2 linked regions of the Daphnia pulex genome follow. The protein of the gene in region 2 binds, or shares a complex with, the protein of the main gene of each other region. Links are inferred from orthologs where the notes say so. Each region holds a gene or a part of one and is shown on either strand. Other genes may lie near its edges.

Region 1 (3,978 bases), on a different chromosome or scaffold from region 2:
AATTGGCATTCATTGCTTTAATAACACGACCGATGATAAATTCACCTAAGAATACAAAAAATGCGTTATTATTTAAAAATCTATGAATTAGTCAATCGATTTAACGCTTACCACAGCGACCGCAACAAGGAGCAAAGAGCATCTGAAAATCATGCTCACAATACTTGCGACCCTCAAACTCGTAAAAAATTCCTTCTGGAAAGGAGCGAAAGCATTGAGCGCACCTGTGAAAGATTAAGAAATTAGAATTCAATTTCAAGTAAAAATGTTGGTGTGAGTACTTACACAAAGCACTGGGGATGCCACAGCTCTCCATTTGTATTGACAATCTTTTCATGAGGCTCAAAACCATAATCACACCTCACACATTGGGTGTTCTTGTACATATCGCTTTAAAGTTCAAACCATTATTAGTTTCTTGAAATTCAGAATGTGTGAAATCTACTATACTAACTGTTAAACCACAATACCTATCAATATTACTAGGTTTAAGGTTTCTAGAAGGAAGTTTAGGAGGGCTGTTAGCATAAGTATTTTTTAAAATGTAAGTTTGAACTGAATTCAAGCTAGGTATCTGAGGAAGTGGTTGATTTTGAATTCCCTTCGGAACATCATTAGATGTAAGGTCTTCAAGCAAACCCTCAAGTTCATTTACTTCACTTGCACTTGCACTTGGTTTCATCTTATCCTCCATTCTTCTAAGGTAAAGGTTACTATTTTCAAAGGGTTTAAGAACAAGAATGTTAGGTCTTTTTGCCATGGTGAAAAATGGAGTTTCTTCAGTGAACACAACCGAAATGTCCAGCAATTTATGGGGTGAAGAACGGCAATTGATAACTAAATGTGTTATCTCATGTGTGGCCACTTCAAGAGCTTATTAATATCAGTAATAGTATTTATCTTATCAATAGCTTACCCAGGCGGCATTTGAAATGAACACAACGATAAAATAAACTCAATAACTATAAGAACTTCAACAGATTGTAGAGACCTGTGGACGAAATCGGGTGCTAACACCAACACAAACCGCGCCCGTTCAGAGATCAGCCCAAATAAGGAGATAATTTTGTGAAAAAAGTGAAAGGGACTAAAATGCGGGAAAAAAGCTAAGAGAAACGCAAAAATACTATGTGCTAAAATTGATAAAATTCCTTGTAAAAAAATTAACATTTGGTTCTCGCATTTTTTAAAATTTACCTTAATTCGGATTGAGCCCCGACGAATTTCGAAATCGTTGTTTTAGACATTTCCCTTCTTTTTCTTTATCATTTTACCGCATCTTCTAAATCCACGATTTACTGCATCCGGTCCGTATTATAATGTTTTGATTGACTTGTAGAGCCATCTGGTGGTCATTCAACGAACTCGATTAATTAATTGTTGTCTTTTCGATATCAGTATATAAAAAGCACACCATTACCTTTGTAAAATTAATTTTCTCTGCATTTGTGACGTTTTTCAATTATCGGAACTTCAACCCATTTTATTGTGACATCTGACATTAAACGCCGCCCTCTGTACACGCCCCTTCAAAACACGCCGCCAGGTGATGTAAGAAGCATAATTTTGATAGTAAACATGGCTTCAGAAGTAGTAGATTGCGAAATTATTGTTTCGAATTCGGTTAACAATTTTGATGCAGCTACTAGCTCCAGTCATGGAATTCTTGACAGCAGTGATCCATATGAAAGTCTAAATAATTTAAGCGGTACCAGAACAAATAGTGATTCCAATGATGTGAGCTTAAACATACAACCTCCTGCAGACCCCGGTTGTACTGATGGTTTTCAGAACGGTGATGTCGGATTATTAGAAATTGCCGTTGAAGCTCAACCTGATTTGATTTTTGAATCAGATCTTGTCTCCAATAACCAAGACCAACAATTTGTACGGCCCAGGGTCTACTTAGAACGAGAGTCTTTCAGCAATCAAAATGAGGATTCCATATCACGTACAACCAATGTGAGATTTACTGAGTAATAATCTCCCCTCAAGATTTGTTAAAAAGCATTAATGAATCAGGCTTCATCAATCTTGGAAGAAAATTCCCTGCCAGCTGCTGCTGGTGATGAAGAGAGTGGATCAGACTCCTTGCTGTGGAAAAATCAAAAGAAACATTTCTTTGTCTTGAGTGAAGCAGGAAAACCCATCTACACAAGGTTGGGTTTGAATTAGCTATTTGTCATTTTTTATAATTAATTGTTTTCCTTTTTAAATTACAGACATGGAAATGAGGAGCAGCTTGTTACCTTATTTGGAGTGATGCAGGCACTTGTTTCATTTGTGGAAGATGGGGAAGACTCCATGGATATGATTTTGGCTGGTGATACCAAATTTGTTTTTCTACACAAAACACCTCTTATTTTGGTAGCTGTTTCGAAATTACGAGATAGTGTACTTCAGTTACAGCTGCAATTAGAGTAATGCAATTATAAATTTTTTAGTTAGTTTCAAATCTAAATTGCTGCCTTTTTAGGTATATCTTCAATCAAATCTCTAGCGTTATTACTCGAGCACACCTTGAAAAAATCTTTGAGCAGAGGCGAAATTACGATCTTCGGAGGCTTTTAGGTATGCCTTGACTTCTTAGTAATCGAGTTAAAATCTTTCCTTTATATAATTATTTGTTTTTTTAGCTGGTTCCGAACGACTCATGGATAATTTGGTCAACTACATGGACACCGATTTTTCCGTTCTACTTGGTGCAGTCAAATGCCTACCGATGCCTTCTTGTGACCGAGATGCGGTCACGCAAACTATCCATCAACAATGTAGCAAAATTAAGGTGTCTTTACAGTTAGAATTCAAATGCTCACGTCTCGGGTGACTAAACATTTTCTTTCCGTTTTTACAGGGCTTAGTCTTCACTGTGTTGATTGGTAACAATCAGTTGATCAGTTTGGTGCGTGTTAACAAAAAGCACCTGCTTCATCCCTCTGATGTACATCTAATCATCAATCTAGTAAACTCATCCGAAACATTTAAAACGGCTGAAGGTTGGACCCCCATATGCCTTCCACATTACGATCCGAGGTCTGGCCCTTATCCATTACAAAACTGCAAAATCAGACATTTTTATTTGTTAATTTTTTATTTTCTCGAATTAGAGCGTTTTTGTACGTTCATGCGTCATACCTGAGTGAAGATTGTCAAGCGTGCCTGCTCTTTTTTACTACCGATCGTGATTCTTTTTTCAGTCTTTCCGATGCCAAAAAGAATATCGTCGATGTAAATTTTTTTTTTTTTTTTTTTTTTTTTTTTTCAGTTTCTTGGCTGCTTAATCTAATCGATATTTTGGTTCCTTTGTCCAGAGACTACGACGCCACAATAACATTCTCGAATCGATCACTCTGGCTTTACATTCGATCTGCCCTATCCTTAGTCAAGTGGGCTGTTCGGATATCCGACATTTTGTGTACAAGTCAAGATTGTCTGCTCAGTACACTTATTCTAATAATGGTCCGCCTTATCAACATGAACAAGGGCAGCTCTATTTAATGGATCTCTACCGACATGTTCACGGTCGCATGCATTCTCCATCACGCCCATTGAAAATGATGTGTCACACTGCTGAAAAAGAGATACTTTTTGGCTTGGTAAGTTGTTTCAAAATAAAATGGCTCACCTTTTTTAGATTTACTTACTAATAATATGATTTATCTTCAATATCTTATCAGGTTACTCCTACTTATGAACTATATATGGTCGTAGAGCCGATGACGACAAAAGCGGCAATAATGAACGCGGCCAATGCTATACTTAAGGTAATTGAATGGCTCCGATGTACTGAATCCACATTTATAGGTTGATTGTTATTATGTTCCCCTTTAGTGGAGTAAGCGTGAAGAAGAAATCCACTTCATCACTACTTCAGGAAGTTGGTAAAGTACCGAATGCAGCCTTCCTTTACATTCACCTTCGTTTTTCATGCATCATGATATATTTAGACTTCCAGATTTATCTGTTATGGTTGTGTTA
Region 2 (4,037 bases):
AGAATGACCTTCTCTTTACATGTTAAGTATGAGCGAGAGAACAAAAGGAATAATTTGATTTAACGTACTTGTTTTGGAGTGCAATAGATTCTCCTTAAAACATACTAAAAATCCTTTTGCCATCGCCGCCGAGTCCCTCGCAACTATGGAACTCAAAATCTATATATATATATATATATGTATAATCACATGAAAGAATGAGACGTGAAAAATACAACTAGTCTTTGCTATCAGTTTCGTCCTATGGGCTCCGTCACGTGTTTTATTTTTTCCTTTGCTATCCCATTGATAGCGAATCGGTTAGACTAGTACTGCAATCACCATCGCCGAAAAGTAACTTAAAATGACCTATAAAAAGAAAAATAACTTTAAAAAAATACTTGTAGTACACTAAACTAATGATTTCGACTTACGGATATACACTTCGCAGTGTTCTCCTTTCAAAAATGCTAAACTTCCACGAACGCGCCGGTTGCGTTGTTGAAAGTACTGGTAGACACCATAAAAAACGGAGGGATCCTGAGAGTTTTGAGCCGCTTCGAGAAATTTGCGAGCTGATATGCTTTCAACCGGAATTGTATCCCGAGCGAACCTGTTGCAGATGAATGTTCATTAATGGACTTGAGGGCAAAACAACTCTTTATGTGGCTGCCAAAAGTACCTTAATGCCGACAGGACTTTGTTCTTGGACAGCAGGATTTCTACAATTTCTTCATTGGCATTTGAAATCCGCTTAAGCATGTCGACTGCGAGCTGATACGCCGCTGGATATACACTTTCTAACGAAAGCAGGAGGCACGCCTGAAGTGAAACGTATATAATAAGCGTATTTCCGCGGTTATATTATGACAGTCAATTTTGCGTATTTATACCAAAGGTTTCGAATCAGCTACTGCGTGGTACTGGAAGAGCTGGTGAAGCTGGTAGAACTGTCCCAAACGTGCAAAAGCTTCGATGAGTACTTCATAAATAAAGTGCTGTACTGGAATGTGATATTGGACGAGGGATCGAATGTACTCGTTGACGACAGCCACAATAAAACGGTCATGCGTCTCATCCATTGGCTTGCTTTCCGTCATGGGTGACAAGATACGAGAGTAGACATCAGTCTGGTCAATAACCACATTGGGTCGTCGTGAAGAAGATCCGGTACTCAACTGAAACGCACCAGCTGGCATGGCGATCTGACTCTGAATCTCAATGTCCAAATGGTTACGGTATGCTTCGTTGAGTTTATCGAATACTCGGCCAAGGACAGGCACATCGGCTCCCACTGAATGAGAATAGCACATTAATCGACTCAAGAGTGCCATCACAGTCGATTTGGATTCCGTTCTCTGCAGGAGGAAGTCAAACAATTCACAAGGATTGTCAACCATATCAATCAAAGGAGTTAGGACTAGTTCCAGACTCCAAAGGCATCCTAATAGAGCGTCGATAATGATGTTGGATTGAAAAAATACCTGTTTTTAATAAAGCAAACGAATAAACATTAAACGTACATATATTTACAGCACAAATGAATTTACCCAGTTTGGAGAATATAGCTCACAACTCATCTGAGAAGGTTCGTGGTTCAGCATAGCGGCTGAAGCGGGGATGTTGAGGAAGTATGGGCGAATAGTAACGGATGCTAGGAACGGATGCAACGTCATCACTCGACCGTCTGATTCACCCGTCAAGTTTATGTCAAAAATGGATGACGTCTTAGAGGCTTGATGGTGGACAATAATCAAGTTGTCCAAGATGCTTACAGCTAGTTTGCCACTGGTTTCCAATTGAAGTACGTGAGTTTTCCGGGGAGGGGCGTCTTTGCACAAAGTGTAAACGACAATTTCCGAATTTCCTGATGCTGGGGTCTCTCGTCCGACCGTAGAATTTGGTTTAATTGGATGCTTAAGGACGAGTACTACCATTTGATTGTAAAGCATGGTTGGTGTGACGTCTCTCTCGACTAGGCAAAGACGTGCAGGTTGTGGAGGATTTGGAATGTCGACTTCAAATTTGGTAAGACGTAGAAGCTGATGGTTTTTGAAGAGATAGGGCTGAAGACTAGTACCAAGTGGGCCAGATGATACCAATAAAAGTCCAGACAGGGGACAATATACAAACCAGTTGCTTTGAATACTGTGGTTTTTCACAGCTCTCAGGCATCTTTTTTCAGGCACAACTTGATAGTGCTCTATTCCCTGATTAGTTATCAGAATAAAGTCTGTGTTTGAAACCCAAACAAATCCAACAATAACAGTTGAACTTCCTCTACAGGGTTGAGAGTATTCTACACCATCAGGCACTTGATTTGAAAAATTTTGAAATTCAACTGATTTTGAAGTTCTCTGAATTGCTAAGATCTGTTGATCAGGTGAGAATTTAATAGAAAGTACTGCTCCTTTATCTTCAACTCGGAAATTTATAGGATTTTTCATCCTTGGGCCTTTGACGTTTACTCCTGTTGCTCCCCCGGATCGAACTGTGAAGACCTGGCGAGTCACTTCATCGTAGAAAACATTTGTGATTTTTGTAACAGGTTCAAAGTGAATTGCAGTTTGACTTAATTGGAGTAAAAAACTCGCTTCGGTAGTTTCGATTGTGGTGCGAGACATTTTTCTTCTTTCACTTTCTGATATACCTCGTGGATTTGAAGAAAATGTTTGAACAAATAACTGGGCCTTAAATATCACAACATATAAAATCCGGCTATCGAATGATTAACTTTTTCTACTGCGAATTCATCTACAATTTCTCCCCACCAACTTTCGATTTCACGATAAAAATCACAACACGATTATGTCGTCTGCTAGGCTATTATGAAGTCAGTCCCCCCTCGTTGTGCAAGTTTGCATAATTTCATTTATCTTTAAAAAATAATATAATTTAAATAATAATTATTAAATTAATTTAAAAATAAATGTGTGTAGCTCATAATTGATAGCTATACAAAACAAATCTCACATTCAATATTATTCATTATTTTTAAATATTTGTAAACAAAGCGCCAATACTTGATTTCGAGCGTCTGCCAGCCTTCACAGTTTTGGCAAAATTTTTACAAAAACAATGTTCTTAAAAAAAGACAAGACCCTTCCAGGTTCGCCCTCGGGTATTAACGGGCAAGATATCAGTTAAAAGCTTTTGCTTATATTTTCAAAAATTAAAATGTAGGAATTTCGTAAGATTTTGTTTATTGTAATTTCCTGGATTTTTTTTCTGTATCATTTACGAAATAAAATAATAAACAATGTAAATTCTTGAGTTAAACTCAGACAGTGGTCCAATTTCTCCATCACAAGGGCTGAGGTAAAAAGGCAACAGTTCAGGGTACAACATCGAGGCAACAGTTCAGGTTACAAGATCGAAGCCATATTTTAGGAAAAAAGTTTGAGGCAAGGCAACAATTCAGGGAAACAGATGGAGGCAACAATTCGCGAAAAGATGGAGGCAATTAGCTGCAGTCGATGTTTAAGGACGTCAAGTAATTAAGATCTTCAGACAGTCAGTAAAAAAGGATTTGTTTACTGATTGTCTTTAAGCCACTCCCTCAGCTCCCTTTCATCAGGTATATCCGGGTTGATCTAAAGAGAATACACAAGAAAAAAAAATCCCGATGAAAAAAACTGCTGGAGAAATATTATTGAGTTTAAACTTACCATGATTACCGAATCATCGAAGGAGTCTAGGAATATTTCTCCACTATCGCGTGCGAATGCAGAAACCTTAACACCTCCAAATGCAACAATGGCGTTATCCAGGCTACTGAGCTGAAATAGCTTTAGCTTTGCGACTGAGTGCAGTACCCACGGCTGAAAAGTTCTTGTCCCTGCGAAAATAAATAACTTTAAAACTGTCGGAATCAAAATTTGTCTGATTCAAAATTTCACCTCAAATCAGCGTAAAGCTCTTCGGCCGAGTTTAGAACAACAGATTTAACAGAGCTACCATCAGAGCGAGGTGACTGGCCCGCATGTGATGAGGCTTGAAAATTTTCTCCTGGAAGCTTGACTGTATCTAAATAACAATGAAACCACAAAATGCAAGTA

Evidence for each region.
Region 1: the proteins of regulator of MON1-CCZ1 complex-like (region 2) and protein SAND-like are in contact, whole or in part, in a cryo-EM structure (PDB 8JBE), measured with the Drosophila melanogaster proteins. The link is inferred for Daphnia pulex from reciprocal best matches to the Drosophila melanogaster genes Bulli and Mon1. Residues at the interface, in NP_648047.2 of Drosophila melanogaster: Ile561, Arg565, Lys568, Asp590, Leu592, His595, Ser596, Arg599, Phe600, Met603, Phe631, Pro632; in NP_608868.1 of Drosophila melanogaster: Pro416, Glu417, Arg419, His438, Pro439, Glu445, Arg448, Met473, Lys474, Glu475, Arg476, Glu494, Pro495, Val496.

The regions. Positions count from the first base shown.
Region 1 is NC_060026.1:14,676,653-14,680,630, forward strand, and holds the start of protein SAND-like, read left to right. Parts: upstream 1-1,171; 5' UTR 1,172-1,197; coding exon of another isoform or gene 1,198-1,247; 5' UTR 1,248-1,307; exon of another isoform or gene 1,308-1,329; intron 1,330-1,384; exon of another isoform or gene 1,385-1,398; 5' UTR 1,399-1,578; coding exon 1,579-1,962; intron 1,963-2,022; coding exon 2,023-2,159; intron 2,160-2,222; coding exon 2,223-2,420; intron 2,421-2,476; coding exon 2,477-2,571; intron 2,572-2,636; coding exon 2,637-2,785; intron 2,786-2,854; coding exon 2,855-3,033; intron 3,034-3,107; coding exon 3,108-3,228; intron 3,229-3,311; coding exon 3,312-3,596; intron 3,597-3,677; coding exon 3,678-3,764; intron 3,765-3,831; coding exon 3,832-3,885; 3' UTR 3,886-3,978. Other genes in the region: LIM and senescent cell antigen-like-containing domain protein 1, read right to left, coding at 1-45, 112-224, 286-390, 471-760. UniProt on the Drosophila melanogaster protein: Part of the Mon1-Ccz1 guanyl-nucleotide exchange factor complex specific for Rab7 that promotes the exchange of GDP to GTP, converting Rab7 from an inactive GDP-bound form into an active GTP-bound form.
Region 2 is NC_060018.1:4,527,486-4,531,522, forward strand, and holds regulator of MON1-CCZ1 complex-like, read right to left. Parts: upstream 2,811-4,037; 5' UTR 2,604-2,810; coding exon 1,530-2,603; intron 1,464-1,529; coding exon 873-1,463; intron 802-872; coding exon 662-801; intron 593-661; coding exon 414-592; intron 349-413; coding exon 278-348; 3' UTR 163-277; downstream 1-162. UniProt on the Drosophila melanogaster protein: Positive regulator of the Rab7 guanyl-nucleotide exchange activity of the Mon1-Ccz1 complex, possibly by enhancing its endosomal membrane association.